Linked DNA regions of Notamacropus eugenii. The protein of the gene in region 1 interacts with the protein of each later gene in a biochemical or structural test. Links are inferred from orthologs where the notes say so. Each region holds a gene or a part of one and is shown in the gene's direction. Other genes may lie near its edges. The genes, in order: ERBB3, PLCG1, GRB7 and SH2B3.

Region 1 (7,904 bases):
TTCTTCCTGTTCCTTCCCTTCTTTTCCTCTGTCTACATAAACTGTAACAGCCCTAGTTATGATAAAGCTCTGAGGCATTACATGTGTCACCTTCTCATACAGGACATAAACAACTTTGTCTAGTCCCTTATGATTTCTCATTTGTGTTTATCTTTTTCTGTGCTTGTTTTGTGTTTAAATATCAAATTATCTCTTCTGTTCTTTTCATCAAGATGCTTGAAAGTTCTCTATTTCATTAAATATCCATTTTTCCCCTGCAGAATTATACTGTTTTGCTGGAAAATTAATTTTTATTTTGTGATCATAGCTCCTTTGCCTTTCAGAATGTAATGTCCTAAGCCCTCCATCCTATTTAGTGGCAGTTGCTAAATCTTGTGTGATCCTGTAGCTCCATAGTATTTGAATTATTTCTTTCTGGCTAGTTACACTCTTTTATCCTTGTCCTGGGAGTTCTGGATTTTGGCTATAATATTTCTAGATTTCATTTAGGGATTTCTTTCAGGAAATGACCAGTGGATTCTTTCACTTTCTACTCTGCCCTCTCGTTCTAACTGCCCACAGGCAGTTTTCCTTTGTTATTTCTTGAAATATAATACCTAACGTCTTTTTTTGTTCATGACTTTCCAGGAAGCTCCAAGTAGTCCAATGATTCTTATATTCCTCAATTTATTCCAATAAATACTCAAATTTTCAATTTCCTCAAAAGATTCCTCAATGTATCTCCCATGTCAGTTGCCTTTCCTATGAGATATTTCATATTTTCTTCTATTTGTTTTGCTCTTTTCACTTCATTTCTTGATGTCTTGTGGAGTCTTTAGCTTCCATTTGGCCAGTTCTAATCTTTAAGGAGTTATTTTCTTCAGTGAGGTTTTGCAGCTCTTTTACCAAGCTGTTAATTCTCTTTTCATAATTTTCTTGCATTGTTCTGATTTTTATTCTCAATTTTTTTCTCCATTACTCCCATTTTATTTTTTAAAAAGTTTGTTTTTGCTTTTTAAAAAAAAAAATCACTTTTTTAAACTCTTCTAGGAATTCTTGATGGGCTTGTATACAATATGCATTTTTCTTCAAGACTTTGTTTGTCAATGTTTTCAAGTCATTTTCTTCTTCTATGTTTATGTTTTGAGTTCACCTATCACCAGTCATTTTTTTTTTTTGCAATCAAGTTATTATTTTTTTATTTGCTCATTTTTCCAGTCTACTTCTTGACTTTGGACTTTATGTTAGTATTGGGCTCTGCTTACCTCTGGGGTGGCAGGAGATGTCAAGTGTGAACTATCTTTTATGTCTTTCTACTGCTTTCACAGCTCAGTCTGGGGGCTCTATAAATTTTCAGTGATGTGATCCAAGAAGAAGTCTGGTCTATGCTCTGCAAATTTCTGACCTGGTTGGGATCTCTTGGCTTGCATGTGGTTGAGTTTCCACAGACTGCTGCCAGACCCAGTCATAGCTCCCTAGGAGGTTCTGCAGGTTCAGAATGACTGAACCACTGGCTCCCCTTTGGTTTTGGCCCTCTGCCTTGGTTTATTCCACTGCAGGCTTATGTGCAGAACTAAAGGCTAGAACTGAGTCCCCCAACTCTGCTGTTGGGCTCAGAGACATACAGCTATTTTTCTGAAACTTGTTCCTTGCTCCTTAAACTTTGCTACCTTACAGGTAAGACGCTTGCTCCCTTCTGACCATGAAGACTCCTCTCCTCCCTAGAAATGTTACCCCAAAATAAATAATGGGCAACATAGATGCTAAATGGCAACCATTCCTGCTCCCAAAGCTAGATCAAGGGTGCCCTAGGATCTCTTTCTGCCCAGGTATTCAGTCCCCTTACCATCCTACGGCACTGGGCTGCTTTCTGCCACTGCTACTGCCATGAACCACAATTACTTTTACCTGTTGCTCTATTAAGCTCCAGACCACCCTCCACCCCAGTGTCCGCAGACCTCTTTATCTTCCAAAGCTGCCATGGACTGAGAAAAAATTATTCATTGTGAAATTTTCTTGGCTTTCTCATTCAGAATTTAATCTGGCATGCTTTCTAGGTCATTGTGGAGGAGATGGTAGAGAAACTAAGGCAAAAAAAAATGCTATTTCTCACTTTGCCATCTTGACTCTACTTCTATTAACTCTTTTTCATTTAATACAAGAATTTTCAATTTATTTTTAAAATTCAATTTTCTGCTCCAAGTTCTCTCCCTGCCTCCACCCCTCCCCAATCCAGTGAAAAAGCAAGAAATATGATACCCATTGTATATGAAGTTACATTATGAATTATATATGAAGTCATCTAAAACATGTTTACATTCACCATGTTCCCTTCCCACCCACCCCCAAAAAGGCAAGGAAAATAAAGAAAGGAAAAAAGCATGCTTCAACTTGCACTCTAAGACCAAATCCTTTATCTAGAGGTGGAAAGCATTTTACATCATGACTCCTCTGAAACTGTGTTAGATCATTTGTATTAACCATAATTATTAAGTTGTACACTCAATTATCTTTAAAATATTGCTGTTTCTGTTAGATTGTTCTTTTGGTTGTGCTCACTTCGCTTTGCATCAGTTCATGTAAATCTTCACAGATTTTTCTGAAGACAACCCCTTCATTATTTCTTACAGCACAATAGTATTCCATCACATGTTCAGCCATTCCCTCAATTGATGGGCATGCCCACAGCTTCAAACTTTTTGCCACCACAAAATAAGCTACAATAAATATCTAGTTGAATTTGTGTTGTTGTTCAGACTTTCTTTGCAGATGTTTTGGAGTCATTCTCTTCTGGATTTGTGTCTTTAGGGTTCTTTGTCACTATGATAGCATTTTACAATGTTATCCTTTTTTTTTTTTTTTTTTTTTTGCTCATTCTCCCATATTACTTCCTGACTTTGGAGTTGATATTAGGGCTAGGCTCTGCTCTCTTCTGGAGGAAATGTCCGGGGTGTTGTTGCTTTCTTGGGGTGTTAAATTCTGTGTTATTCCAGGATGTCAGGAACAGCTTAGGCTTCTGATCTACAAAAGTTTACTGTTCCCAAAGTGATCTGTTTCAGGACAAAGTCTGATCACTGTTCCCTAATTTGAGCTGTGTAAATTTCTTACCTGGATTTGGAGCTGGGAAACCAGCTAAGAACGTCTGCTGGTTCAGAGTTGCTCTGATTATTCCTTTGCAGGATTCAGACTTTTAAAAGCTGGAACTGAGGCTCCACTTGCTCCTGGACTTGAGCCATACAGCTGTTACTTGCTTCTGAACGTAGTAGGCACTCAATACTTATTCCATCCATCCATCTAATGGTATTACTTTTTATGCTTTTTATGTTTTGTGTCTTATATCATTTGCTATGTTATATAATACATATTATTTATATTACATTGTGACCTAATATAACATGTTATATATATATATATATATATATATATATGTTTTTAGTTATTCTTAGTTTTTCCCTACATACAGTATTCTACCACCCACTTCCATGCCTTTGCATGGGGCTGTCCTTTATATCTGGAATGTCCTGCCTCACCTCTTTCCTTTCGAGACCCTTCAAAACTAAAGTGAACATTTAAGTGGCACAGGGGATAGAGCCCTAGGCTTGGAGTCAGGAAGACTTGAGTTCAGATCTGACCTCAAGACGCTTACCACTTGTGTGACCCTGAGCAAATCAATTAACCTCTGTTTACTTGTTTCCTCATCTGTAAAATGGAGATAATCATAGTACCTTCCTCATAGGGTTGTTGTGAGAATTAAATGAGATAGTAACTTTAAAGTACAGTGCCTGGCACATAGTGAGCACTATATAAATGTTGCTATTATTATAGGATTATTATTATTTTCTCCAAGAGTCCTTTCCTAATTTCTCCAATCACTGGCATCATTTCATAGTTGTATTCACTCATCTGGAGGGCAGAGACTGTATCTCTCTCCCTAGCTTCTAGCACATAGCCTAACACATAGTACAGACTTTAAAATGTTTGTTGACTGGCTGAGGTTTGGACTTCAGTTGGTAGGCAACAGGTCGACACTAAAGATTAGTAAACAAAAGAAGCGACTTTGTTTACAAGGAAAAGTGGCCAGAGGAGAAGTGGACTCAGGAAGTGCTGTTCAAATGGTTCAGGTGAGTAGGAACAAAGTCCTGTACTAGGGTGATGGCAGTAGTGATAGAGACCAACCAGTCTAACTTGTCTGGGGCCCCCTTATCCCCTCCCCCCACCAAAAAGAAGGCACTAAAGCTCTGGGACACTTGGGAGAATTCATAAAGGGATGGCGGAGAGGCAGCTGTCCTTTAGATCGGCCATGGGGGGCAGAAGAGGGGGGTAGGGGAGGGGCAGGCAGCAACAGGTGCATTGAGTCTTGGCCCCACCCTGGCCCGGGTGGGTCTGCCCCTCCCCTGCTTTCCCTTCCCTTTCTCAGAGTGGGAATGGAGAGGCGGGGCTTAGGGTCTGTTCCCAGACTGGTACCCCCTCCCCTCCTCAAATTCTCCTGGGAGACTGGGCAGGCGCCGGGTTCGGAGGGGGGAAGCATCCGGAGACAGTGCAATTTCACGGAGCCTCGGAGAGGCTAGGGATCCTGCGGACCAGAAGGCTCAGTCGTGGGGTCTCATTCCCAAGGGAGGCGGGGGAGGAGCAGGAGGCAGAAGCTGCTCCCTTCCCCCCCCATCTCAAGAGGGATAAAAACACCAAAGTGGACCAACCGGCCAGGGAAGTAGGAGGGTGGGATTTACATAATGGGCGGGACCAGCCTGGTTGAGAATCCCTTCTTTATCCACGGGGGTGTGCGTGGGGGCAAGTCTTAGGAATTTTCTGCTCCCCCTCTCCTCGGGGAAAGTGAGGGTGAGCCTCTCCGTCTCTCTGATTGGGCGGAGCAAGGGGGTTCCCACCGTCTGGCCAATGAACTCGGGGCCCGCGTAAGGCGGGGCGGGCGGTGCAGGGTAGCTCAGCACGAGCCGGGTGGAATCGGGCGAGATCGAACTTCAACCCTGCGAAAGTCGGAGGCGCTGCCAGCGCTGGCGGGTCCGGGAGCGGCCGTGACTCACCCCACTCCCCACACACGTACGCACCCCCCCTTCCCTCTCTCCCTCCGCCCCCCACCCCCTGCCCTCCCTCCCCGGTCCCTGCTCCAGCTCTAGATCCAGCACCACTTCGCGTTTGCTACCTGGACGGACTGCGCCTCCGCCTGCTCCCTTCCGGGCTCAGGTGCCTTTCTCAATCCCGATGTCTTAGCCTCGGAGCCCCGGCCCGGGCTCCCTACCCCCGGCACGCAGCAGCTATGAAGGGCTTCCTGGAGCTGCAGGTATTGGGCTGGCTCCTCCACCTGACCAGGGGCTCGGAGGTGGGCAGCTCGCAAGCAGGTAAGCGGGGGCTGCGGGACAGGGGAGGTTGGGTGCTGCCGGGAGCTCCAAGTGCAGGGAGGAGCCTGAGGAACCCGGGGGCTTGCGAGCCTCGGAAACAGAGGGGTCAGTGCCTGCAGCCCCTCTTCAGTACCCTCGGGGTGGCCCCGCTCTAAAGCGCTCGAAGCTTGAACTGGCTGGACGTCCCCCCAACCCTCCACTCCCGCCCGCCTTCTGAGGATCCTCCTGGGGAAGCGATTGCTTTCTCAGTTCCCCAATCTGGTGGAACCCAGGCATTCTGGGGGTCCCAATTTGTAGAGATGATGTATTGTGTTATATTTTCTCGAGAAGTGAATCAGAATTGGAGCCTAACTTCTTTTCCCAGTCCCGTCTCCCTGGTTCCCCCGGTTTCAGGCACCGCCAGTTTCGGTGTTTTGCCGGCTCTGGGAGGAGCTAGAATAGGATTTGGGGGGGGTGGAGGGGGCAGTTGTTCCCTTGTGTTAGAAAAATAGGTCCGGGCCCCTCCCCTTTCTTGCTTGTTTGTGTGAGTGCTGGTGCGGGTGGAGGTGGGGGCGGGCTGGGCAGAGATTAGCCAGAGGGCCAAGTCCAGGTGATAGTGATAAAGAACTTCAGAAAACCACTCCTGTCTGCTTCACCCCAAGCTACTCACGAAATCTAGACTTTAGCAAATCCGACCACTGTAAAACTTCTTGCTTGCGCTGGAGACGTGAAGGAAAAGGAGGCTTAGACAGTCTGTCTCCTCTTATAGACAGAACTTAAGGAGACAGTTCTGAAAGGATTGTTCCTCCCCCCCAACCCCTTTTCTTGGGTATCTTTGATCACAGAATGCTGGTGGGATTTAAGGGGATCAAAGAATTAGACATTTCTACTGCCATCTCTCTCAATTTGGGGCTTGGTGAATTTTGTGCCCCACTCACAGTAGGGGTGAAGGGAGTGGGAAAAACACCTGTGTTTCTCCACAGTTGCTGGGTCTAAATTTAGTCTCTGGGACCTTGAATTGTGAACACTCCCAGCTGGAAGAATTGAGGAGGAGTCTGGTATAAGGAAGGGGTAGTGGTTGCAGAAAAAGGATGACAGTAGCTACCTCTCCCTCAGACTGGGAATCTGAGAAGTTACCAGCAAGGAAACCAGGAGTTCTGGCCCCTGGATCTATTCCTGGGGGAGGAGAGAAGAAGGGGGGGGTTAGTTCTGGCCAGGCCTTTCTTTATCTGGATTTTCAGCCTCTGGGCATCCGGCCTCGTCTGGGTCTCTCTATGCTCCCTTTGTCCTAACGCTGGTCAGGGGTAGAGGAATGTTGGAGTTGAGGTTCACATTGAGGATCCCCAGGGGGAGTAGTAGGAGAGAACAGTCTCTTCCTTTTCCACAATACTGTCTTCCTAAGAGGGCCTTTGATTGATAACTTCTCCCCATGTTCCTGGATAATTTGGGGACTTGGATGATTCCAACCCACCACAAGTACCTACTTTCTCCCTAGAAATGACTGCACTACTGACTTCAGGCTCCTGGTCCTTCATTCCTGCTCTTTCCCACCCTCATCTACTGCCCTTTCCTCTCCCTTTTTTTATGTGAGGTGGATTTTATTTCTGTGGGTAGGAGACAATGACTTCTAATTCTCTGTCCCATCTCCCCAAGCACACAAGAATCCATAAACATATATGTTAATGTGATTGTCTTGTGGGGACTGTAAAAGATTTTGGGGGATGTCGTTTGACATAGTAGCCCAAGGCAATGTACCAGGGTACAAAAGCATTCCTGGAGTGGTTATGGCTGGTGGGGGGAGGCTTTGAGAAAAGAGGTAGAGCAGGGGCAAAGACATCATATATTCTCACTTATTTTTTTAAAAAAATCTGTGTCTTTCCTATGGGAGTGAGGAAATTCTCTACTGATGCAGCTCAAAAACTCTTATGCCATTTACAATCTTAAAGAGTTGTTAAGGTGACTTGTCCAGAGTCACCCAACCAGTCTGTCACAGGCTGGATTTGAACCTCTGCCTTACTCTGAGGCTAGCTCTCTAGACACTAACTTGTACTATTCTCAAAGACATATTCTCAAGAACATCTCTGCACACAGAAATACAAGTCTGATTCATAGGCATGGAGGAAGGCTCTGGTGAAGGGGTGTCCTTGTTAGCAAGAGGGGTAGAGGCACTTGGTTCTAACTTGCTGGTGTATGAGTCATCTCTCAGACAGAAGCAATGCCATTCTCAGCCTTCCTTCTTGTCCCTTCCAAAATGACAATGTTGATTCCTGGGTTCATGCTGAGCTCCATCCTTTCTCCCCTCCCCCTTCTCAGTAAAGGAATCCTGAACAGGAGAGTAGTGTGGGGAATCTTTCAAGGGATCAGGACTGGTATGGAACTAGCAAGAGGGGGTTCCTTGGCTTCCATTCCCCACATGCCTTCATGCCTGCTTCCTGATGAGCTGGCAGTGCCCCCAAGAAAGAGAAGTTGCAAACAGGTGCTCTCTCTGCTCCTGCCCCCAACTCCCAACATAGACTTTAACCCACTGGAAAAGGGAGGGGACCAGAGATCAAGGGGGCAGAGATACCTTGAATTGTTCATCATTTCCTACAT
Region 2 (7,502 bases), on another chromosome or scaffold:
AACTTTGTCTGGAACTCTCTTTGGCTTCCATCACATCCTAGCTTGTAAATATATTATACTCACCTTTTTCATGTTGTGTATCTTTCTGGAGAATTCAGGTTTTTGGAAGGATGGAGAGTTTCCTTCTTGTCTTTGTAACTTCCATGCCTAACAGCGCCTTTATTGAAAGGTTATCAAACTGAAGTGAATTGAATGTGATTGAAAGTCTCTGCTCTGGACAACCTTTCCAGGTTTGTTGTATATTACTCAACCAATCCGCAAGCATTTATTAAACACTTACTAAATGTCTGGATCTGCTTGAGGCACCAGGAATATGAGGACAAAACCAAAATGGCCTCTGCCCTTAAGGACTAAGTTCTATTGCGGAAAGCATTCTGTGTGTACGTACAAATGCAAAATATATGCCAAGTAAATGAAAATAGAGGGAGGCACTAACAGCTGGGGTTGGACCAGGGATCAATAAGTGATAGCAGGTGGCTTAACCTGAGCTTTGAAGGAAGCTAAGGATTTTGGAAGACAAGAGTGGCCCATTACAATCATGGGTAACGATAACCTGTATTTTTATTTATTTATTTATTTTTGGTGTGAACGCAATTGAGGTTAAGTGACTTGCTCAGAGTTACACATCTAGTAATCGAGGCCTGAGTTGAACTCAGGTCCTCCTGACTTCACAGCCAGTGCTCTATCCACTTTGCCAAAAGTCACAGAAAGGATGTGGAATCTCATGTGTGAGCAAAGAAAAAAGGATCAGTTTGGGCTGACCAAAAAGTATGGGAAAGGGAATAATGTATGTCTGTAAAGGTAGGTTCCAGCCAGGTTCGTGTGCCAGAGAAGTTTGGACTTTAGCCTAGATGCAATAAAGAGTTACTGGAGCTTTTGGAGCAGGGGAGTGACTAGTCAGACCGGTACTTTAGGAACATCACTTGGGCTGTTGTATGGGTGGATGGAAGAGAAGGGAGCAGTTTAGGGAGGGAATAAGCAGTCACTAAGTATGTTCCACTGAGCTAAGTGCTTTGCAAGTATTATTTCATCTGGCCCTGTGAACCTGGACTGGAACTGGCCTCTAACCTGAGAATGGCCAGAGCCAGACAGAGCAAGCCAGAGGAAGGTGTCAGGGACTAAACAGAAGTTTAATTAATGTTAGAGTGAGGAAAACACTTGTAATCAGAAATCCCAAAGCAACAGGATTAGGCTTTTTTTTCTCTAAGAACTATATACAGATGCATATGATTGTCTTCCAAATTTATTTATCATGGAAAATCAGGCTTTGAGTATGTTTTGGTGATAAGTTCTCAAAATTGGATTATGACTTTATTAATTAAGGATTAATTGGATTTTATACATAAATTATATTGATAATGGTAAAGAAATGAAATTATTTCCCCATTTTTAAAAGTATCTGCCTTATAATTTAAAAGGCAGAAGAGTTCATTTTATAGTTGGACCCTTATCAATTTTATATATATATATATATAAAAACTGAAATTCTCTGAAAGACCAGAGTTATCTAAGAACCTCTAGATTTGGACTATGTAACAGAGAATATACACACATGTACGCATACATACACACATGCATGCATGCATACATACATACATAAACAGAGACAGACATCTATATTGTGGTCCTCACAGTGAGGAGCAGGGCTTGGATCATGATTCAGTAAAGTATATGGAAAAGGAGTAATCAGGACTGTCTACTTGGTGTTCCCCAGATCTCACATTCCACCTCAGTCTTTCTCCTTGAGCCCTCCTCAGTCTTAGACACTGTTATTGATCACTTTCTCCTCCTTGATACTTTCTTTTCTCTAGATTTTCAGCACTCCACTCTCTCCTGGTCTTCCTACTTCTCTGACTGATCATCTCTCTCCTTAGCTGGTTCCTCCTCCAGATCCCACCCTCTGACCATAGGTGGCCCTCAGGGTTCTGTCCTGGGCTCTTTTCTATATTTCTTCACTTGATATCATCAGCTCCCAAGGTTTGAATTACCATCTCTATTCTGATGACTCTCACAATCTACCTATCTTGCCTCACTCAGTCTTTGCTGATCTCCAATATTGCATCTCCAACCGTCTTTCAGACATCTCAGACTGGATATCCCATAGATGTCTTAAACTTGACATGTCCAAAACAGAATTTATTATCTCTCCCCCTCTTCCCCTTCCAGGATAACATTATCCTCCCAGTCCTTCTGAATTGCAGCTTAGGAGTCATCCTGGTTTTCTTCACTATCTCTTACCCATTCCCCTCCCTATATCTAAGTGGTTGCCAAGTCCTATTGATTTCACCTTTGCAATATCTCTTAATTAAGTCCCTTTCTCTCCTCTGACTGCTGCCACTCTAGTGCAGACCTTTGTCACGCCACACCTGGACTATTGCAATAGCCTGCTAGTGGGTTTGCCTGTCTTGGGTGAGTGTCTCTTCACTCCATTCCATCCTCCATTCAGCCACTAAAGTGATTTTCCTAAAGCACGGGTCCAGTCCTGTCACACACAAACCCCTAGCTCTCTGCCTCAGAGCCCTCCACCCCTCCCCCGCCAATAAATTCCAATGGCTCCCTATTGCCTCAAGGAGTAAATACAAAACGAGCCATTTAGCATTCAAATCGCTTCCTAACCTAGCTCCCTCCTGCCTTTCCAGTCGTTTTACACCTTACTTCTCTACCCTCTTGGATCCAGGTACACTGGCCTCCTTTCCATGAACAAGATCCTCCATCTCTCAGTTACAGCCATTTTCTCTGAAAGTACTCCATACTTTCCCTCTTCTGCTGACTACTGACCTCCCTGCCTTCCTTTAAATATCAACTAGAATCCCACTTTTACTGGAATCCTTCCCCAGTGGCTCCTAATTCCAGTGCCTTGCTTCTGTTAATTATTTCCTATTATCCTGTATATAGCTTTGTATATATTTGTTTGCATGATGTCTCCGCCATTAAATTGTAAGTTTCTTGGAGGAAGGAACTGTCTTTTGTCTCCTTTTGTATCCCCCAGCTCTTAGCACAGTACCTGGCACATAGTTGATGTTTAATAAATGTTTATTGATTGATTAATCGTCCCTCCAGGCCTTTGCCTAGACTATCCCTTAAGTCTGGAATGCATGACTTTATCCAGCCTCTTGGAAATCTCTAACTTCCTTCAGGGTTCAGTTAAAGTGCCATTTCTTACTTGAGGCCTCTTCTGATTCCCTTCCAGGTGCTAAAGCCCTTACCCTCAAATTACTTTCTACTGATTTTTGTCCAGCAGAAGACTTGTTCCTAGAAAGCAAGAGTTTTTGTCTTTGTTTTCCCAGGGGCCTAGCCCTGCAAGCCGGCAGCAGGTGAATAGTTGACCATAAACAAATAAATGTTTGTTAAATGAATTTAGGAATGTAGAAAATCTTCACCTCAGCCTAGGGGGTGAATTCTTCACTTGGAAGTGTTCTACACATTGACTTTTGGATGGAATTTCCATATTGACTGTGGGAGCGCCCTAGGCACAATGTAGTACTCTCCCATTGACCTGGAGTTGGATTAAACCAGGAAGCTAGGTGGTGAAGTGGATAGAGCGCTGGCCGTGGAGTCGGGAAGACTCACCTTCTGGAGTTCAGATCTGGGGTCAGTTACTAGCTAGCTGTGTGACCATGGTCTTCTTCAGCAACGAAGAACGAACATACAAACAGCTGTGTGACCAAGTCACTTCACCCTGTTCGCCTCAGTTTCCTCATTTGTAAAATGAGCTGGAAAAGAAATGGCAAACCATTCCAGTATCTCTGCCAAAATGAAAATAAAACAAAAATCAAGTGGGGTCACAAAGGATTGAACAACTGAAAAATGACTGAACAACAAAATGATTGAACCCCACCTTTGACATTTTTGGTCCAAATCTATGACCAGGAGAGACCACAGCGGTCTGGAGGATAGAGAGCTAGCTATGAGTCAAGTTCTGACAGATACATATTGCCAATTTGACCCTGAACCAGTGTCTTGGACAGGTTTCTTAACATGGGGTTGGACTCCATGGATAGATTTTAGGAGGACTGTGAACATGGATGGAAAAAAAAATATAATCTTTGATTTTAACTGACCCCTAAATAAAATTTCCTATAATTATGAATTTTTAAATAAAATATTTTGAGGAATTCATAAGCGTCACTAGACTGTCAAAGGAGTCCACGGCACACATCTAAAGATTAAGAAACTGAGAAGGCGCCTTCCCTATTTCACTGAAATCACAGATCCAGTCCCTGACGACCACCATAGTGGGGAAAATGCGAAGGCAGGCCTTGAGCCGGGTACCGGGCGGGAATTAATCAATCAATCCGCAAACCCCAAGGGGCGGGAGGAGAAGGTAGGCAAAACCTAATCTGGACAATCAGGGAGTGACCTCAGCCAGGGCCGCCTCCAACACTCAAAGGGAAAAGGGGGTGGTGGAGGTGGAGAGCTTGTCAATCAGTTACCCCCCTGGCCAATCAACAGGTGGCCCCGCCTTCCCAAGCCCCTTTTCCGTCCTTTACTCCACCCTCTTACCCCCCTAAGAAAAAGAGAGAGAGGGTCGTATCTGTGCTCTGCGACCAGCTACTCGACACGGTTCTCCTCCCTTTCCATTTTGCAGAGCTGAATTAAACGCGCTCAGGTGAGCGAGGGAGGGGGCGTTGTCTAGGGGAATTCCCCCTCCCTCCCGGAGTTAAGCCTGGTGTCCCTTTAAGGGGCTGGGTTCCCCCCACCCCCCCACCCCGGCCGCTTTGTCTTTCTGAGCGCCGGGAAGGGGGAGCGTCTTCGTTCCTATTCGCCCGCCCGGCCCCTCTCCCCGCTCCCCTCTCCCTTTGCAGCTAGAGCAACGAACACCACCGGATGTGGGGCGGGGGAGGCCGGGGGCAGCGGGGGCCCGAGAGCCCGGGGGCACTTAGTAGACCCTGCCGGGCTCCTGCCCCAGAGACCGAGAGAGAGAGAGAGAGAGAGAGAGAGAGAGAGAGAGAGAGAGACAGAGAGAGGGGGAGGGGGGGGAGAGAGAGAAAGAGAGAGGAGACAGGGAAAGACTGGCAGACAGGGAGAGGCCGGGAAGCAAGGGAGGCAGATTGGGAACCGCCCTGCAGCTCGGCTCCGTTCTCCCCCACTTCTTGAGCCAATGCACGTGTTGATTTAGGGGCAAAAGACCCTCACTCCCCATCAGCCCCTTCCTCCCCACCCCACTCAAGCAGAGGGAAGAGAGAGAGGGAAGACAGAGGGAAAGGCAGGCCCAGGTAGCAGCTGTGGCCGGGATGTGAAACTGACTCAGGCTGTAGGGTGGGTCTGGGTAGTTGTGCGACTGTTTGTGTAAGACTGTCCCAGGGACTTGTGTGCCACTGTTTGTGTGGTTCTGTTACACTCTGTGACTTCCATTATTTGTACGTGGCTGTTTCTGCGTGTGGGGGGTGAGGGGTGGGGGGTGTGTGTGGCTGTATTTTAGGGTGTACGAAGGACTATTGCAGGGTGTGCGACTGGGTTTGTGTTTCGGGGTGTGTGTGTGAGAGAGAGAGAGAGTGTGTGTGTGACAGAGTGTGAGACGCTGCTCTGCTCTTTTTCAGCCATTACTTCCTGAGTTTTCGGGACATCTTATCGGCCTCGAATCGATGCAGAGGCTTGCAAGATCAGAAGACTGACAAGTGGCTAGGGTGCCAGACTCGGACAGTGCGGGCTGTTGGAAGGTGGTCCGTAGGACTACCCTCGGGAGGCTGGGAGGGAAGGACGCCTCCTGGGTGGGGGGCGAACAGCCCCGCCTGCTGGGGGCGGGAAGGGGGGGGGGTCTTTGTTCGGGCCGGGGAGGCGGGGTCTGCGCGGGCGGGGCTCTGGGGGAGGGGGCATCAGTCTCCAGGCGCCTCCTTGGTTAACTCGGCCCCTTCCTCCTCCTCCTCCTCCCCGCCCCCGCAGGAGTCGCTGCCGCGGCGCGGATTGCTGGATTGTTGCTGGCAGACGCAGCGCTCGTCCAGACGCTGCCTCCTGAGCGCCCTCCGGGGCTCCCCGGCCTGCAGTTTGAGACAAACTCGGGTCTGGAGGAGAGCAGGAGATCCCCGGAATGATGGCAGGGGTGGGGGCCCCCTTCGCCAACGGCTGCGGGTCCTGCGCCCCGTCGGAGGCCGAGGCTCTGCACCTCTGCAGGAGTTTGGAAGTGGGCACCGTCATGACCTTGTTCTACTCCAAGAAATCCCAGCGACCAGAGAGGAAAACCTTCCAGGTCAAGCTGGAGACCCGGCAGATCACGTGGAGTCGTGGGGCAGATAAAATCGAAGGAGCGGGTAGGTGTTTGCGGCCCTGGCCCCTTTGCGTACCTTCTCTGGTTGGAGGAGAACTCGGATCGTTCCGTCCAGCTGTTTGTCCAGGGCTGGGGGTGGAGATATTCATGCAAACTTTGTGCGTTTCTGGCTCTCTCCCGCCGTCGTTTGCTGCTTCTCAGAATTTGGTTGCTTTGGGGAGGGGGCAGGGGCTAAGGGCCTTCACCCTTACCCAAGCGATTTTTATTCGTCTCGCAGGCAATGGATCAGGTACTGTCTGCTATGACGATTCATCCAGGGAAAACTGGGCCCAGGTGCTCTGAAAGACACCTTCCCACCCCCTTGACTATAGGCCCAGGGCATAGATGTGTGTGCTTCTCTCCTTCAGGATAACCAGAGTGTTTGGGGGGGGGGGGGGAGGAGCGGGGGAAATGAATCCCGGGGTTGGGGGATAAGGATTACCGCGGACGTTCCCCCCAGGCAAGAAGAGGGGTAGCTTTGTCTCCCGGCGGTTCTCAGCTGTGGGCCAGAAGAGGAAAGAAACAGCCACATTGTATCGCTTAGGTTGTTACATTGTTACTGTTAGAGTGGGGGGGGGGGGGCAGGGAGGCCGGCAGGCCAGCTTGTTGGCGCCTGCCTTCCCCACCTCCCTCCTCTTCCCGATCCCAAAGGGAAGGAAGCTGTGTTTGGGAAGGCCTGGGAGGGAGAAAAGAGAAGGCCTCCCCTAGCTCCCTCCTTCCTGCTGCACCTTTTGTCCTAACACTGAATGTCAGCCTAGCCTGGGTCAGGCCCACTGAGAGGGGCAGGGGGGAATTTCTGGGAGTTAGGCCCAGTTTATAAGGAAGGCTCCCTGGCTAGGAGAGTGGGGTACCTCCCTTAATTAGGGTGCATTCTGATCAATCCAGCCCTTCTAGTCTGGTAGACTCTAAGGAAGCATACTCCTTGTCAGTCCAAGGGGGTTGGCTTCGGTCTACACTCATGTAATTGGCTCCTTCATTGTAGGGTGGTAGTTGGAATGATATCCAGGACTTTTCTTAGAACTGTATCTCCCTCCTTCCAGATGGGAGCCAAGAAGTGATACTCAAAGGAGATGCCCAAAGAACTTCCAAGGGGAGGTTGTACCTGGTGGGAGAAAGAATCTCAGAATGGGCAGTTAATTAGGAAGGAGTGTCTGAAGTGAGTTGGGGATTCTGGGCCTAAAGAGGGAGAACTTTGGCTGTGGCAGACTACAGAAGGGCTGAGGCCTCTTTTTCCCTTGTGCTCGATCTGGGCTGAGGG
Region 3 (7,451 bases), on another chromosome or scaffold:
AGGAGGGGAAGGGGGAGGAGGAGGAGGGGAGGAGGAGGAGGAGGGGAGGAGGAGGAGGAGGGGAGGAGGAGGAAGAGGGGGGGGAGGGAAGGAGGAAGAGGAGGGGAGGGCCAGGAGGAGGGGAGGAAAGGAGGAGGAGGGGAGGGGAAAGGAGGAGGAGGAGGGGAGGGGGAGGGAAGGAGGAAGAGGAGGGGAGGGGCAGGAGGAGGGGAGGGAAGGAGGAGGAGGGGAGGGGAAAAGAGGAGGGGGGATCCCCTCCCCCGAGCCCCTCTCACCAGTACTCCACCACGATGCGGACCCCACTGCCCGGCAGGGGCTCCTCGAGATCGGCCCCGGGCTCCCCGCTCATGGCTTCGCTCCGCTCGGCCACACTCCCCGCCGGGACCGAGCCCAGCCAGACGGGCAGACAGACCGGCTGAACACGGAGCCTGTAGACCAGGCGCCGCTTCCGGGTGTGACGTAGCGCCGGGTCACGTCACGCGCGCCCAGTCCGGAGGCGGGGCCGTTCTGGGGGCGGGGCCCGTCCGGAGGCGGGTCAGATCGGGGGGCGGGGCTAGGCCGGGGCAGGGCCCGGCTTGTCCTCTGAATGGCTGGCGGGGATGCAGCGCCCTCTGCTGTGGGGAGCTGGTACTTGGGTTGTCCCGGGATCTAGGTCTGGGTCTTGGGAGTCTGAAGCCCTGGAACTCTCCTTGCACTCTGGCCTCCCACCGCAAGCCCCGGACTTTCGTCTCCGTGCCTTTGTTCACGCTGTTCTCTACAACTAAATCATCCCCCGCGACCCTCTGTGGAATTTCTGCCCAAAGGTAGTGAATGGAATTTATAGGACGATTTAAAGTGCTCTACAAATATTATCTCACTGAAGACTCATGGTAACCCAGGGAGCTAGGGAGTATTAGTATCCCCATTTTACAGATGAGGAAACTGAGGCAGGCAGAGGTGGTGACTTGCCCAGGGTCACACAGCTGGTAGTATCTGAGGTCATGTTTGAACTTAGATCTTCCTGACTCCAGGTATCCATCTCACGACCTAGCGCTCTCTAAAAGTATCCACAAAACATTCTCCCACAAACCTGGGCCACATTCTCTCACTCATTGTATATGGCATCAGTGTCTACCCATGTTTTCAGGAATAGGAGGCTGGAGCTGTGATTATACAGGTACAGGGAACACTCAGGTGAGCAAACTCCCTCTACCTGTGCAGGTTGACACCTCTTTGACTTAGTCTTAAAGATTTGCCTAGAACACTGAGATAGTAAGTGACTGGCCAAGGGGTTCCACAGCCCTTATGGAGCCTTGCATATAAGTCTTCTGTCTTTAAGGTTAGCTACTTATCCTGTGGGTCAAGCTACGGTTCTCCATGCTTTAAAGCCCACATCTCCTCCCTCAAGCCTTCCCTCTTTCATCCTTGTACAAAAGCATCTTCTCCTCACATAGTCCTTTGTTCTGCACCTCTCGGATTTTCTTATCACAAATACACATTATAGTTGTTGAAATTTTCTCATTCCATTTTTAGGGACTGTTCCATGAGAGCAGGGACTGGATCTTATCTAAACTTTGTTACTTTCTATGTCTAGCAAGATACTCTGTATAAAGTAGGAACTTAAATAACTTCTTGTAGAGTTGAAGGGGGACCTTGGGAAAGCATCTTAATCTCTCTGGGACTGTTTTCTCTTCTGTAAAATGAGGCAGTTGGGTCAGACAGTTTCCTCAGATCTGGAATTTTATGGTTCTCTAATCTTATGAATAAAGAGAGAGAGAGAGAGAGAGAGAAAGTGAGAGAGAGAGAGAGAGAGAGAGAGAGAGAGAGAGAGAGAGAGAGAGAGAGAGAGAAAGTATGTGTTCAATCCTGGATCCCTCCAGTTACAGAAACAGTTTCCAGTTCTTTTTCATTTGAACCTTAGAGGGTGCCAAGTCCTCCCAGGTCTCTGTATCAAGATTTCCCTGGTGCTCTGTGTTTTTCTCCTCAGCATCATGCTCAAATTACACAGCTTTAAAGAACAAGCACTTACACCGTTGGAAGAAACAAATTCAACAAACATTTATTAAGGAGGTGGAAAGAGCCCAGGTACTGGAGTCAGATCTGGGTTTCAAATCCCACTTGATGATGCTTCCTACCTTCTTGGGCAAGTCACTGAACCTCCATGGGCCTCAGTTTCTTTATCTGTAAAATGGGGGGTTGGACCAGGTGGCCTCTGAGCCCCCTTCTAACCCATGCTCCAAAGTATTTGTTCAGAGAAGCACAAATACCAAGAAAAGGCAGGCTCCACCCCTGTCTTCAGGGGAACTGACAGTATAGGAGCAGAGAGAAGACACTTAATTAAAAATACATTTAAAAAAAGGAAAAGAAAACATTGCATTTCCTTACCTACAAAATGGGGGGTAATAATGCCTCCAAGTGCCTACATCACAGGATTTGTTTTGAGAATCAAATCAGATAATGGAAAGTGCTTTGAAAACTTTCAAATGCTCTAGCAATGTCAGCAGTGATGATGATGATATGAGATAATTATTATTAATATAGTAGCACAGTTCAGACAGGGCATCAACAGCCCTCAGAGGGTCTAGGAGCCACAGGGCTGCTAGTACTAGGAGGATGGTGATATCCAGGCTTATTTCACAAGCCACAGCGGGGGGGGGGGCTGCTCATTCTCTCCGTTTAACATTTGTAATGAGGTGAAACAGGTTACAAGGAAAATCCAGATGAGTCCTGCTGAGAAAAGGTAGGGTGGAATGAGTGGGAAATCAGAATTACCAAATAGCCAGCTCTAAGCGCTTTAGTCATGATAGTGTTTTCATTTTATAGTGAGCACATAGTAGGTGCTGAATTAATGCTTGTTGACCTGGATGGAGAGGATTCTGTGGGCTGGTAGGATATATATATATTAACCCACTATCTATCTATCTATCTATCTATCTATCTCTCTATCTCTCTATCTCTCTATCTCTCTATCTCTCTATCTCTATCTATCTATAGATATGTAGTGGGTTAATTTAGAGGTCGAAGGGACCTCTCAGAGACTATCTAGTAGAATTCCCCCATTTTTGTAATAAGCACATAGTAGGTGCTAAATTAATGCTTGTTGAGTTGGATGAGAGAGATTCTGGGGGTTAATTGGATATACATATGTTGGATCACAGATTTAAAGATGGGAAGGACCTCAGAGGCTATTTAATCCACTTCCTCCATTTTACAGATGAGGAAACTGAAGGCCAGATGAAGTGACTTGCCCAAAGCCATTTAGCCAGAAAGTAGCACAGCCAAGATTGAACCCAAAGCCCTGATTCCAAATACATTGGTTTTTTCTATTTTAAATACATTGTCTCCGAAGGAGCTCATTCTTGTTAACACTTAGCTGGCAGAACCAGCCCTGGTTTCATCTTTCAGATCCTGGGAAGCTCACCTCACCTGGCCCCACAATTATCATTATCACATTCCCTTCCCACACTGGTCAATGACTCCAATTGTCATACTCTAGAGATGGCTTCTAGTATTATACCTAACTCACTTAAAGATCCGTCTCAGGGAGGTTGATGGAGCTATAGGGGGTCAGCGTCCATTTTAATAGAATGTCAGAGATGGACAGGGCCTTTGGGATCACCAAGTCTAACAAGCGAACTGAGGGACCTGGATCCTGTGATTTCCAGCCATAGCTGGGAGTAGAATCCAGGGCTTTGAGGAGGGAGAAAAAAATACATTTATTAAGTACCTCTGTGCCCCAAATTGTGTTGATCTTCACAACTCTTCGAGGTAGGTGCTGTTATTATTTTCCTTTTAAAACTGAGGAAGCTGAGGCAGACAGAAGTTAAATGACTTGCCTGTGGTCACACAGGTAAGTGAGGCTAGGTCTGAACTTAGTGCTTCCTGACCCCGGGGCCCACAGCCCTATCCACTGCACCAGGGAGGACCAAGCATAGATGGCTCTGGAAAGTCAAAGTGGGGATCAAGGGCTGAATAGACCTAGAGAGTCAGGCACCTCCTAGACATGAAACCAGAATCTGCCCTCTGCCCCAGGGGTGGGGATGGTGGAGGGTGGCACCCATGCCCCAGACCATGCCCCCTGTTGGTTGGTTGGTTGTTCCCTCCCCCTTCTTCTTGGGAGCTGAAACCTTAGTGTCCCCTCTAGTGTGAATGGGATCTGCTGGCTGCTCTGGACACCTGGGCCCCTCCCCTGTTCCCTCCCCCCACCTCCTTGGACACCTAGGTCCCAAAGGCCTGGATAATAATAGCACAAACACTCCCCACCCTAGTGGCCGGAGGAGTATTCTCTTGTTTTTCTCCTCCCTCCTTCCTCCAGGCCCCGCCTCCACCTTTCCAATCCCAGTCACTTTACCGCCTCTCCAGCCTTGCCTCCCGGTTCTACCACCTCTCTACTCCCCTCCCCCGTCCTAGCACATTTTCTGGAAAGAGAAACTCAGGAATCTGACCCTGGTGTCCTGGACCCTCGGCTGTCACCAGACAGAGCCGGACGTTGGACCCTAGGCATTTGAGCCTCTCATACTGGGGCTTCCCAGGTAGGAAGAGAAATATCCAAGAAAACAACCTCCACTCACCCTTATCCTCAGTATCTTTGTAGCTGCTGTCTGTGCCAGGGCCCCTTACAGGTGGACTTGATGTCTAGTGGGCAGTGTCGTAACCCCAGCCCCGTTCCCATGATGGCAGGTGGAACCTATGAAGGTTGGAGGGCTAAGGAACCTGCAAAGGGTACTGGGGTGGCGGGGAGACACAGGTGGATAAAGGCAAGGTATGTCCCTCCCCAAACAGATGGCCCCAGCCAGATGTGTAGCAGCACCCAGGGTCCAGGTAAGGGCCGAGCTCGGCAGCTTTTCCTGTCTCTTCCGACATACCTGGGGACGCCCTCCTGCCCAGATCCTTCCTTCTTTGTTTCCGGCCTGCCTGTGTTTTCTTCTTTCACCTGCTTCTCCCCTCTTTCCATGACCTCCTTTGGGTCCTCTGTGACTCCTCCATTGCTAAAGGTCTCTTCTGTTTCTCTGTGGGGAGAATATTTGCCAGCATTGTGTCAGCTGAAGGGTGGCGGCAATAGGGAATCTTTTCTCATTTGGATGATTTCTGCTTCCCCTGGACAGCCCTCCCCCTTCCCTTCCTAAAAGGGAGATGGGGGTTGGAGGGAGGCATTAATTGGAGGCTCAGTGTCACAGTAAGCCCCCATTCCTGTTCATCTCTGCAAAGCTACTGTGAGCTTGCCCTGATTGGGATGCCCTAAGATTTGTCTAGAAAGGGGTCTATCTGGGCTTCTTGAAAACTTCATTTGGGGGATCAGTAAAATGATTAGGGCACACTGAATTAGGATTAGTTTTGGGAGGAGGGAATTAATTGTTCCTTCTTTCTCCCTAACTTTCCTTTCATTGCAGATGGGCTCAACACTGGTCCCCACCTTCCAGCTCCCCAGCAAAAGAGCTTAAATCTCAAGGATCTTGTTAACTGGGTTCTAGCTGTGTCAAAGAATGTGGGTGGAGGACAAGGGAAACTCAGCAGTGATACCCCAGTTTCAGGGCAGCTTTGCTGGGAGCCTATCCACCTCAGTCCACCAAGCAATGAAAGGAAAGTTGGGGAGAAAGAAGGAAATTATGAGGTTGGATGTCTGGGTCCCCGTGCTAGAGACTGGAGAATGGAGAGATGGGGGTCCTACTGCTTCATTTCCCACTGTAGGATGAGGTAGGAGAGCTCTCTGTACTCTGAAAAGGATGCAGGATAGTTGGATTCCATTCTTGCTATACATTCTTCTCCTCATGGGGAATTTCAATTTTACTTCCCTAGTGCAGCTTTAATAAAGACTGGGGATAAGAAATCTGTTACTTTTGGACTCTGCTTCCCTCCCCCCCCAAATCAGCTTAGGGGAGATGGGAGCTCTACCCCCCTATCCCCCGGGTAAATAACCAATAATGATTAACCCTAATCAAATTTTGGCCACTTTTGCATATTTTCCAAATTAAACTTTAAAAGAAATCCTCCCCCTTTCAGAGGCAGACACACCTTTGTTGTGAATATCTTCTTGTGGGTAGGTTGAACCTCAGTTTCCTGGTATCTTCCTACCTGATGCAAAGGTCACGGAAGATGTCATCCTGGGTTTCTATATTGTTTACCAGTGATCTCCCAAAGTTGCACCTCAAAGATTCCCCCTTTTCTTCCCAAATTTCATTTAAAGGGAGAATCTGGGATTCTTACTCCAAGGGGGAGATTCATTCCCCGCAAATGGGGATGCAGGGACTACCTCAGCCTATGGAGAGAAGGGAGGACCTCTACCAAATAACCTCTGGACCCTTTTCCATTGTCCAATCCTACTTCTTCAACCTTTACATAATTTTTTCCAATCTTTCCCCTGCCCTACAAAACTCCCAGTGTCTCCCAGACCTCCAGTGCCTCACTGAGAGTTTTCAAGACTGTGATGTTTAGAGTAGGACTTAGAATATTTAATATTGTGGTCCCTGACCCTCAGACTTTCCTCTCCCAGCTTTTGCTAGCCAGGTGGGGCAAGTTTCAGGAAGTAAACAAGGAGGCTGGGGAGAGAAAGGGGGTGGAGAAGAGAGCTTCCGGGGAACTTGGGGTGGGAGGGAAATACTTTTGAGGTGCGGAGAGCTTTGGCGGAGTATGAGCTTCTTTGGAGTACGGAAGTCTGGGGATGCCTGAGGGCAATTCCCCTCCTTCATGAACCTTTCCCCCCTTTGTTTGTATTCTCCAAACCAGTTTGGTAGGTGTGGGAGGCCAGACTGGCCATTCCGACTTTGCCCCTCTGGGTCTTGTCTCGTTCACCTCACCTACTTTCAGTTTTTCCCTCCATGCCATGATCCTGATTTCCCTGTTCCAGAAAGTAGGATCAGGAAATGAAGGGAGTAGGGAGGTGGAGAAACAACTGAGCCAACATTTCCTCACCCCTCCATCTCATCCCTGTGTCTGGTCTTCTCTCTGCCCACAGGCTAGAAAGTAATATACTGTAAGGTAGACTAAGTTATTTATCCCTTAAAAAGAGTACCTCCACCCTACCCTGTCAGCCTTTGTCCACCCCACCCCCAGATGTTGGCAGAACTATCTCCCCTTTTTTACCCATCCCCCTCCATGGGGGATGCCATTCAGTGGTGCCTATGTTCAGGGCCTGAGAGGGAGGGGAGTAGGTGGGTATGTTGGAGGGCCCTACTCCACCACCCACCACCCCCAACACATAATGAGATAAGGACATTCCCCCCACCCACCCAATTAGACTGAGGAAAGGACCTCCTAGGGATGCTGGCTGATTGTCAGCTTTGCCCCCTCATCTACAAAGCTCCTATCATTGAGTTTGGAGCATGTCTCCATCTCTTCTATGTTGTTTTGTCTAGGGTTATCCTTGTCTTAGCAACATCCCTCTCCCTGTGTCTTTTGGCTTTTTATGCTATTTCTGGGTCTTCTCTCTGCATATCTCTAGCCTTAGGAGTTCTGAACCTTTTATTGTGTCATGG
Region 4 (7,931 bases), on another chromosome or scaffold:
AACTCAGAGCTAAGACAGACCTGGGTCCAAATCTTTCCTCAGCACCCACCAGCTATGTGATCAAGGACAAGCCACTTAGCTTCTCCCAGCCTCAGTTTCCTGATCTGTAAAATGGAGGATAATAACACACTACTTCTCAAGATCAAGTGATCTATCAATCAATAAACATTGATTAAGTGCCTGCTACGTGCCAAGCACTAAACACTAGAGGCAAAAAGACAATCTCTGAGATAACTTTTATAAAATACTTTGCAAATCTTAAAACACTACATAAATTCTAGTTATTATTATCTGGAAAAGTGGCAGACTATTGAAGGAGCCACTTTGGCCAGCAGAAAGGACACTGAACATACAGTCATGAAAGACTTAGATTCAAATCCTACATGAGCAAATCACTTAAGTCCTGTAGATCTCAGCTTCCTTAGGTGAGAAGAGGGGAGGATATTGATAGCCTGAGATTCTATGACCTTAGCAAGAGCACACAACTCTCATTCATTCATGAGAGCTCATTTCCCAAAGACTCAACAATCTTTTTTGCCTTTACCAAGAATGTTGGATGGCAGTTTTACAGGACCCTGACATCTTAAATAGGAACCATAGCCTGCCTTGAATGAGGATAGAATTCTGTGGGGATGGGAATTCCCATTTCTTTAGGCCCAGAATTCTAGGAGAGAGAGGAAAGGAAATAGGACAAGATTAAAAGAAATCAGGCTGGGATAGAGATGGGGGGAGGGGCGCACAGGGACCATAGTGGTGGAGTGGGGAGTGGCAGGGCTTCATTGTAAATTCCCTGAGGCAAGAAAGTTTTTATTTTTGGTTCTGGGACTCCACTGCCTTGCATGGTGCCTAGCACATAATAGGTGCTTAATTAATGCTTGTGGGTTGATTGATTGGTTGCCCAATGTCATACCACTCAGTAGAAGCCTGAGGTGAGTCCTATTATTCTATGATCTGAGGTTCTTTTTGGGGAGGAGAGTGGGGATAGACTTCAAGTAGTATTTAAGGGATATCCCAAGGGGTCCCCTCCAGCTTTGTACCTATGATGTGATACCTCCTGGAGAGAATAGGACAGTTAGTATTATCTCTACCTTCCAAGTGGAGAATAAGATGCCAGAGAAAACAATTCTTGTTTGCCCAGGATCAAACAGGGGCAGGAACTGAAGCCTGGCAGATCCAGCTCCATTGCTGAGATGCCATATGTTTCACTAGGGTAGACACAAGCAGCAAGTTTACAGCCCTAACCTCTTAACATTTCCCTTTTCTGAAGTTACAGGGAAAGCAGAAAGATCCCTGCTTGGTAGAGTCCCAGTTTTTACAAAGAATTCAGTGGCAGGCACAATTTTGTAGTTGGAGAACCTGAATTCCAGTCTAGACACTGTCACTTACCAACCTTTGTGATCATGGGAAAGTCATTGTATGTCACTTAGAAAGTAACAGCCTCAGTTTCCTCAACTGCAAAATGGAGGGACTTAAAACAACAATGACAATAATCCTAAATTATAATAAACAAGCTTGACCTCAGAGAACAGGTGAGAAATTGTACTTCCTGCCCTTAATTTTTCAGGTGGGCAACTATGGGTATAGAACATGGCATATACTATCTGATGAGGTTGATGTGTAAAATTGCTTTGGTTGATTTACTGATTTTTTTTAAAATAAGAGATGATTGGTTATATAGGAGAGAGAGGAGGGATATAATTCAGAAATGAAGGCGATTTAAAACAAAGGACATTTAATAAAATTAAGGTAGAAAAAATAAAATGGTATGGACCAAATGATGTCTAAGGTTCCTACCAGCTCTAAAACTGTGTGATGCTGTAGAAAGAGTGCTAAATGTCAAGTCCTGGGACCTGAGTTCAAAATCTAGCTCTTCTATTTACTGTCTTTGTGACCTAACAGGGAGAGTAATTAACATCTCCAGTTGTCAGTTTCTTCATCTGTAAAATAACCAGTCAGTTGACCTATAAATGCTTGTTAAGCCCCTACTATGTGCTACTCAATGTGGTTAAGGATTGGAGATACAAAAAGAGGCAAAATATAGTCCCTGCTCTCAAGGATCTTATAATCTAACAGGGGAGACAATAAACAAACAAATTTGTACACAAAAGCTATAGACAGGATAAACAGGAGATTAACAGAGGGAAGGCACTAGAATGAAGAGGGTTTGGGAAAGGCTTCCTATAGAAGGTGGGATTTTCATTGGGACTTGAAGGAATGCAAGGATTGGGATGGACTATAGTGGGGAGATGGTTCAGTCAGGCAGACTCACCAGCAGCTATACCAACAGTCCAGACCTGAGATGATGAGGGTCTGCATTAGGGTGGGGGCAGTACCAGAGGAGAGAAGGGAGCAAATTTGAGAGATACTACAAAGGTGAAATTTACAGGCCTTGGTAACAGATTCCATGTCGAGGATGGAGGGGAGGGGGCGGGGGCGGTGATGAGAGAGTGAGAAGTTGAGGATGATACCTAGGTTTCTATCTGAGGGACTGGAAGTATGAATGACGGTGCCCTCTACAGTAAAAGGGAAGGCTGAGTTTGGGACACATTGAGTTTAAGATGTCTACTAAACATCCAATTCCAGACACATGAAAGGTAGTTTGGAGACACGAGGCAGGTCAGTAAAGAGGGCAGAATAAGTAGACTGGAGAATCATCAAATAAGGGGGTTTGACTGGACCAGGGGTGGGGAACTTGGGGCCTTGAGGTCACATGTGGTCCTCAAGTGTAGCCCTTTAACTCAATCCAAACTTCACAGAAAAATCCCCTTAATAAAAGGATTTATTCTGTAAAACTTGGACTCAGTCAGAGGCCACACCTGAGGACCAAAGACACCATGTGGCCTTGAGGCCCCAGGTTCCCCATCCCTGGACTAGACTAAGATCCCTTCTAGTCCTAACCCTCTTGGGCAGCTTCTGGACCCCTTCTCAAAATCATGTTTTTAAATGCATAAAGTAAAACGCCTTCACATGGAATAAATGCAAAGGGGTCTCCTTGGGGTTGGTTGATCCTTGAGGCAGGAGGATAAATAGAAACCCTCTGGCGGGAGGAGAACCGATGCAAAGAAAGTAAGAGTTTGAACTTAAACTCTTTCCCCAGGTGCTCTGGTGAAGGAAAAACGATGTTTCCTACCCCAGGCCCTCTCATGTTATCACAATTTGTCACAAAGTCAAAGAATTTTGTTCCTTGGGTTGGGGGAACGATGCTATCTCAGATCCAGAGCCTGAAGGTTCTTTTGAGATCATCTACGCCAACACCACGGTTTTATAGAGGAAGAAACTGGATCTGAGAAATCAAGTGCCTGAGGTTACACAGACAGTTAATAGCAGAATTTGAACATAAATCCTCCGTGTTCTTTCCACCCAACCGCTGGGGCTTCTTGGAACCCGCCAAATAGGTGCTAGGCTGGGGGTGAGTGGCCAGGTCTGAGACACCATCATTTCAGTTTGTATCGCCAGTGCTTAGCCCAGTACCTGGTGCGTAGTAGGCGCTTAAAAAATAGTTGTTGGTTGGTTAAAAATTGATCACAGGCTCACAAGATTTAGGACTAGCAGACACCTAGGAAGTCTAGTGTCCGACCTCTTATTCTACAGAGGATGAAACTTAAGTGACTTTCCAAAGGTCACACAGGGACTAGAATTCGAATCTAGATCCCCAGACCCAACGCTCGTTCTGCGGTTGACCGAAGTCCCTCATCCCCCACCCCTACTGCTGCGGGCCAAGGCCCATTTCTCCAGATGGAGAGCAGTAAATTCCTGCACACCTGGCCTGGGGCAGCCCTGCTGGAAGGTGGGGTCACCTGTGCAGGGGACAGTGAAGGGCCTGGGTAAAAAGATCTGGGTCAAGTCCCTCCAAGGATCCCAAGGTCGGGGCATCAAAAGGAGCCCTCCTGGGGGTGGGGCACAAGGTCAGTATTGTGGGGAAGCACCCTAGGGTAAAGCTGCAGAGGGAGGGCGTTCCAGGGCAACCCCTCAGGAGAACTCTCAGTGAGGCGCCAGGTACCGCCGCACTGGCAGGTGGAATCGGGTGCTGGGTCATGGGGGCAGCATTGGGAAGGTGGGGCTCGTGAGGGGTGGGGGCAATCTCGCCACGTAGCCTGGCTCTTCGGACCCCTAAGCGCACGGCCCTGGGAGGCTTTCCTGTAGCTCCCAGCGACCAGAGAGAGGCTGAAAAGCGAAAATGAAAGCAGCCGGACAGGGTGCGGGGGTGTGCGGCAGGTCTTTGGGACGCCTTTCGACCTTCCCTGGGCTCCGCTCGGTCGCACTCCGCATCTCCTCCTCCACCTTCTGGCCGCTCTGGGGCAGCGGGTGCCCCAGACACCGAACTGGGAAGGCGGCCCCTGGGCCGGGCAGGTGTGGGGAGATCCCGCTAATCTGCTGCTTCCAAGCACTACCCCTGCTTAGAACTGCAGAGTCCCAGACCTGTAAGTCGGGGCTCCGACCCTTCCCCTGCCAGCTAATTCTCTCCCGAATCCGGCGGAGTCACATTTCCTCCACTTTGGAAAGTTTTCCAACTATTCCGCCCCCTGGGAAAGCCGGGGGAAATTATCTTCAGTTTTCTTATCTATTTGCAAGTTGGACTACCCCAGGAGAATGTAAACGCGTTGGAGCTCGGGGCTAGTTTTTCATTATTTCTGTATCCCCTTTCCCCCTCACCCGCCCGCACTTAGCAGGGGCAAAATAAATGCTCGTGGACTGTCCTGGGCCTGGCCCTGCAGGGGGCGCTTAAAGGCAGTGCAGAGCGGGGGCGAGGACAGCTGTGTACCCAGACTACACCGCCCCCTCTCCAGCCCCTGTCTGCCACTGGCACTCTTCCCCTCAGGGGAGCATCTCCACTTACCCAGGCAGCTTTCGTGCCTTCTTCTCAAGAGCGTCCATGGAGACCTTGCCAAATGCCCGGCACTGGGCGAGGCGCCCGGGAGGACGACACAAGGTAGAAGACACCACCCCTGCTGAAGGAAATTTTCAAAATATCCCGGGGAGAGAAGACTGGCACGTCTGAAAAGGGTACGTCTGTGTCCTGATACCAAGCAGAGCCAGTGAGTGACCTAAGCCACTAGAGAGTAGGTGAGTTGGGAGTGTGGCTGTAGGGGTGAGGAAAACCGGTTTCCGAGGTGGGGAGGGCTGGAAAGGGGGTGTAGGAATTTTAGACGGCCTTGGAGCGAAGGTTTGAGGTTGGGGAGGAGGGGACTACGGATGGACTAGACTGGGCAGGGCTCTGAAGGCCGACCCGAGGACTTTGACCAAGTTATTTCCTCTATACCTGGAAGAGCGAATAGCGAGTTCCACAGACATTTATTATACACCAACTGTGTGCGAGACCTTGGGGAAGGAGAAAAGATCGTAGAGTAAAAAGACCAGAGCTGGGACTCCAGCTCTGATGTTACATCAGTTGTGTGTCAACCTGCCCTTCCCTGGGCCTCAGTTTTCTTATCTGTGGAAACTGGAATATTGGCATTCCTTCCAGTGCGACATCTGTGAGACTAGTTAGGTTTGCCTGCGTTGGTCAGAGGCAGCTCTAATCCGGACAAGCGGCACTTGGAGCCAGGCGCCGCGTGTGGTTGCAGGGAGGGGGCGGTGACTCGATGGCTTCCCAGGGCCCAGGGGCCCTGACACGTGTTTCTAGGTGCCCTTGAGGGGTGTGGGTGGGCTGGGGGCAGCCCTCGGTGGAGGAAGCAGGGCACACTCAACTATCCTTCCCAGACCCCCTAGGGTGAGGGAGGGGCGGTGCTGTGGGAAGCTAGGGACCTTAACCCCGCAGATTCTAACCCCTCGGGGTGACCTAGTCTCGGAAAGGAGGCGTAGGCGCCCATCCAAATTCCTCCCCTCCGGCCCAGCGCCCCAGGGGAACTGCTTCTGCGTCCTCGGTTGGCTAAGCTTCCCGGTCTGGGGTGCGAGCCCGCAGTGACCCCCTCCAGCCCCAGCGCGCCCCAAATCCAAATCCGAACCCATAGCCGCTGGCAGGGGAGGGGACACGGCGCGCCTGGCACACACCCCCTGCAGTCCTCCTGGTCTCTAGTCCCTCGGAGTAATGACCCTTTTTACGTAACCGGCGGGAGGGAGAGAGGGAGGGACAGAGGGAGGGACAGACGGAGGGAGGCATGGTCTCTGCTGCCCGAACCTCCGCCACTGCTGCCTTCTGCTCCTTCTGTCCTCTCCGCCTTTCTCGGAGCTCCCGGCCCGAGCGAGGGCTCAGCCCAGGCCGCCGTTCGCGGCCCGCTCCAGCCGGGTTCGCGGCCGGGTCTCGCCTGGCCCCCGGCAAAGTTTGCTTGGCCCAGGGACTCATCTTCAACTGTCAAGCGCTGTCAGCGGAAATGATGAGACCTTGGCCATTTTCCGAGTCCGGGTTTCCTTCCTGAGCCCGGTGTGAGTTTGTGTGTGTGTGTGTGTGTGTGTGTGTGTGTGTGTGTGTGTGCGTGTGCGTGTGTGTGTGTGCGTGTGTGTGTGTGTGTCCGCGCGTGTGTTTTACGTGTGTGTGCGCGCGCGTGTGTGAGGAGACTGGAGAGAGAAAGAGAGCTTAAGGGGACAACTGGATTGGGGGGAGTGGGAGAGGATACGGATGACAAGTGAGACCATGGACCGGCTACACCCCCACGGCTTCTCTCTCAGGTAAGGCTCCCCAAACCTGGCTCCTAGAGAAAGGTCCGCCTCGGGGGGAAAGGGAGGATTTGGGGGACATGAGACTGATGCCCCGAAGGTGGTGGGCACTCCCTCATCCTCTTGTGCCCAGTCTTAGCTCTCCAAGTCCTCCGTTTTCGCGGTTCTCTACCCCCCCCCCCCCGCCCCAAGCTAGGGTGGTGCGGCTGAGAAGCCCCGGGCACCGACTTGGGACCGGACCCCATTCCTCTCTTTCGCCCACCACCCTCACACCCACGTGTTACAGCTCCAGGACAAGGGCGGAAGGGGTTTGCAAACCCGTGGGGGGTTGGTTTTTAAGGCACTGATGGTTTCTGGGTGGTGGGGGGGACACTGTCTGTTTAACACCCGCATCCTGAATCCCTGGGGCAAGGGAGTTAAGCTGACCAAGTCTTGGCAAAAGGGTCAGATCGTGGCTCAGGGAGAAGGTTGTTGGGAAGAGGGAGTCCTCTCTGCTATGAGTTTCTAGAAAGTGAAAGTATAGTCTGCCGGTCCCCGGGGATGCTCAGCTATTCGGTTTCTTATCCTATGCCCCTTTTCTTTTTGACAAGGAGATAAATCTGGGATGAGGTGGTAGAATAGGGCCCTGGACGGCAGGCCCTTCGCTCTTCCTCCACTCAAGCACTCTTCCCCATTCTTTCTTCTGTTCTCCAAGCACCTTTGTGGGAGTGGTAGCCTTGGAAAGGAGACCCAAGGAAAGAAAGTCCTCACCCCCACCAGTAGCAGCTGAATTATTTTCCCCAGGACCCAACCACTTTTCCCAAACCTGGTTGACAACTGTGTATGTCTCTCAGGACAGGCTACTGCTGTCTGTGGGTCAGAGTATGTTACCAGAGGTGTTTCCCCAGGAGAGAAGGTTGTCTAAGCTTTTCATCACTCCCCACAGAATAGGGTATTTTAGGTGATTGTCATGTGTCTCTCAGAAATCCCCTCCTGCCAGTCTTAGTGTGTTTGGGGGGGACATTTGAGGATTTGAGGAACTTGGAGTGGGGGGCGCACATCCAAGTCCTGGCTCATTTTCCTGATTACCATATTTCCTTGTTTCTCTTCCCCATCCTCTTTTGACATTTCCCCCCCCCCACCCACTTATGCCCCCTCCCCCTCTGCTCCCCATCCCCCAGCCTGGAGATAGTAGAGGAGGGGGCCCTGGCACCTAAATGCTTGCTGATCGACTGCCTGACTGCTGGGCCCCAAGATGAGGAAGGGGGAGTCCCTCGGGTGTCTTGGATCAGCCTAGAGGAAGAACAGGCACTCTACTGAAAGATCTTATCTCTGTTTGTCTTTTGTAGTCTGAGCCT

The links.
Region 2: the proteins of ERBB3 (region 1) and PLCG1 form a complex in vitro, tested with the Homo sapiens proteins (2 studies listed by BioGRID and IntAct, with this or other methods). The link is inferred for Notamacropus eugenii from reciprocal best matches to the Homo sapiens genes ERBB3 and PLCG1.
Region 3: the proteins of ERBB3 (region 1) and GRB7 form a complex in vitro, tested with the Homo sapiens proteins (2 studies listed by BioGRID and IntAct, with this or other methods). The link is inferred for Notamacropus eugenii from reciprocal best matches to the Homo sapiens genes ERBB3 and GRB7.
Region 4: the proteins of ERBB3 (region 1) and SH2B3 form a complex in vitro, tested with the Homo sapiens proteins (2 studies listed by BioGRID and IntAct, with this or other methods). The link is inferred for Notamacropus eugenii from reciprocal best matches to the Homo sapiens genes ERBB3 and SH2B3.

Annotation. Positions count from the first base shown.
Region 1 is NC_092874.1:231,336,241-231,344,144, forward strand, and holds the start of ERBB3 (receptor tyrosine-protein kinase erbB-3), read left to right. Parts: upstream 1-4,899; 5' UTR 4,900-5,251; coding exon 5,252-5,333; intron 5,334-7,904. UniProt on the Homo sapiens protein: Tyrosine-protein kinase that plays an essential role as cell surface receptor for neuregulins.
Region 2 is NC_092872.1:423,910,357-423,917,858, reverse strand, and holds the start of PLCG1 (1-phosphatidylinositol 4,5-bisphosphate phosphodiesterase gamma-1), read left to right. Parts: upstream 1-4,496; 5' UTR 4,497-4,609; intron 4,610-4,687; exon of another isoform or gene 4,688-5,216; intron 5,217-5,540; 5' UTR 5,541-5,660; exon of another isoform or gene 5,661-5,663; intron 5,664-5,883; 5' UTR 5,884-6,028; coding exon 6,029-6,248; intron 6,249-7,502. UniProt on the Homo sapiens protein: Mediates the production of the second messenger molecules diacylglycerol (DAG) and inositol 1,4,5-trisphosphate (IP3). Plays an important role in the regulation of intracellular signaling cascades.
Region 3 is NC_092873.1:355,266,924-355,274,374, forward strand, and holds the start of GRB7 (growth factor receptor-bound protein 7), read left to right. Parts: upstream 1-4,437; 5' UTR 4,438-4,511; intron 4,512-4,761; 5' UTR 4,762-4,775; coding exon 4,776-4,800; intron 4,801-7,451. Other genes in the region: MIEN1 (migration and invasion enhancer 1), read right to left, coding at 276-349. UniProt on the Homo sapiens protein: Adapter protein that interacts with the cytoplasmic domain of numerous receptor kinases and modulates down-stream signaling. Promotes activation of down-stream protein kinases, including STAT3, AKT1, MAPK1 and/or MAPK3. Promotes activation of HRAS.
Region 4 is NC_092875.1:34,823,299-34,831,229, reverse strand, and holds the start of SH2B3 (SH2B adapter protein 3), read left to right. Parts: upstream 1-4,917; 5' UTR 4,918-5,004; exon of another isoform or gene 5,005-5,064; intron 5,065-6,088; exon of another isoform or gene 6,089-6,606; intron 6,607-7,931. UniProt on the Homo sapiens protein: Links T-cell receptor activation signal to phospholipase C-gamma-1, GRB2 and phosphatidylinositol 3-kinase.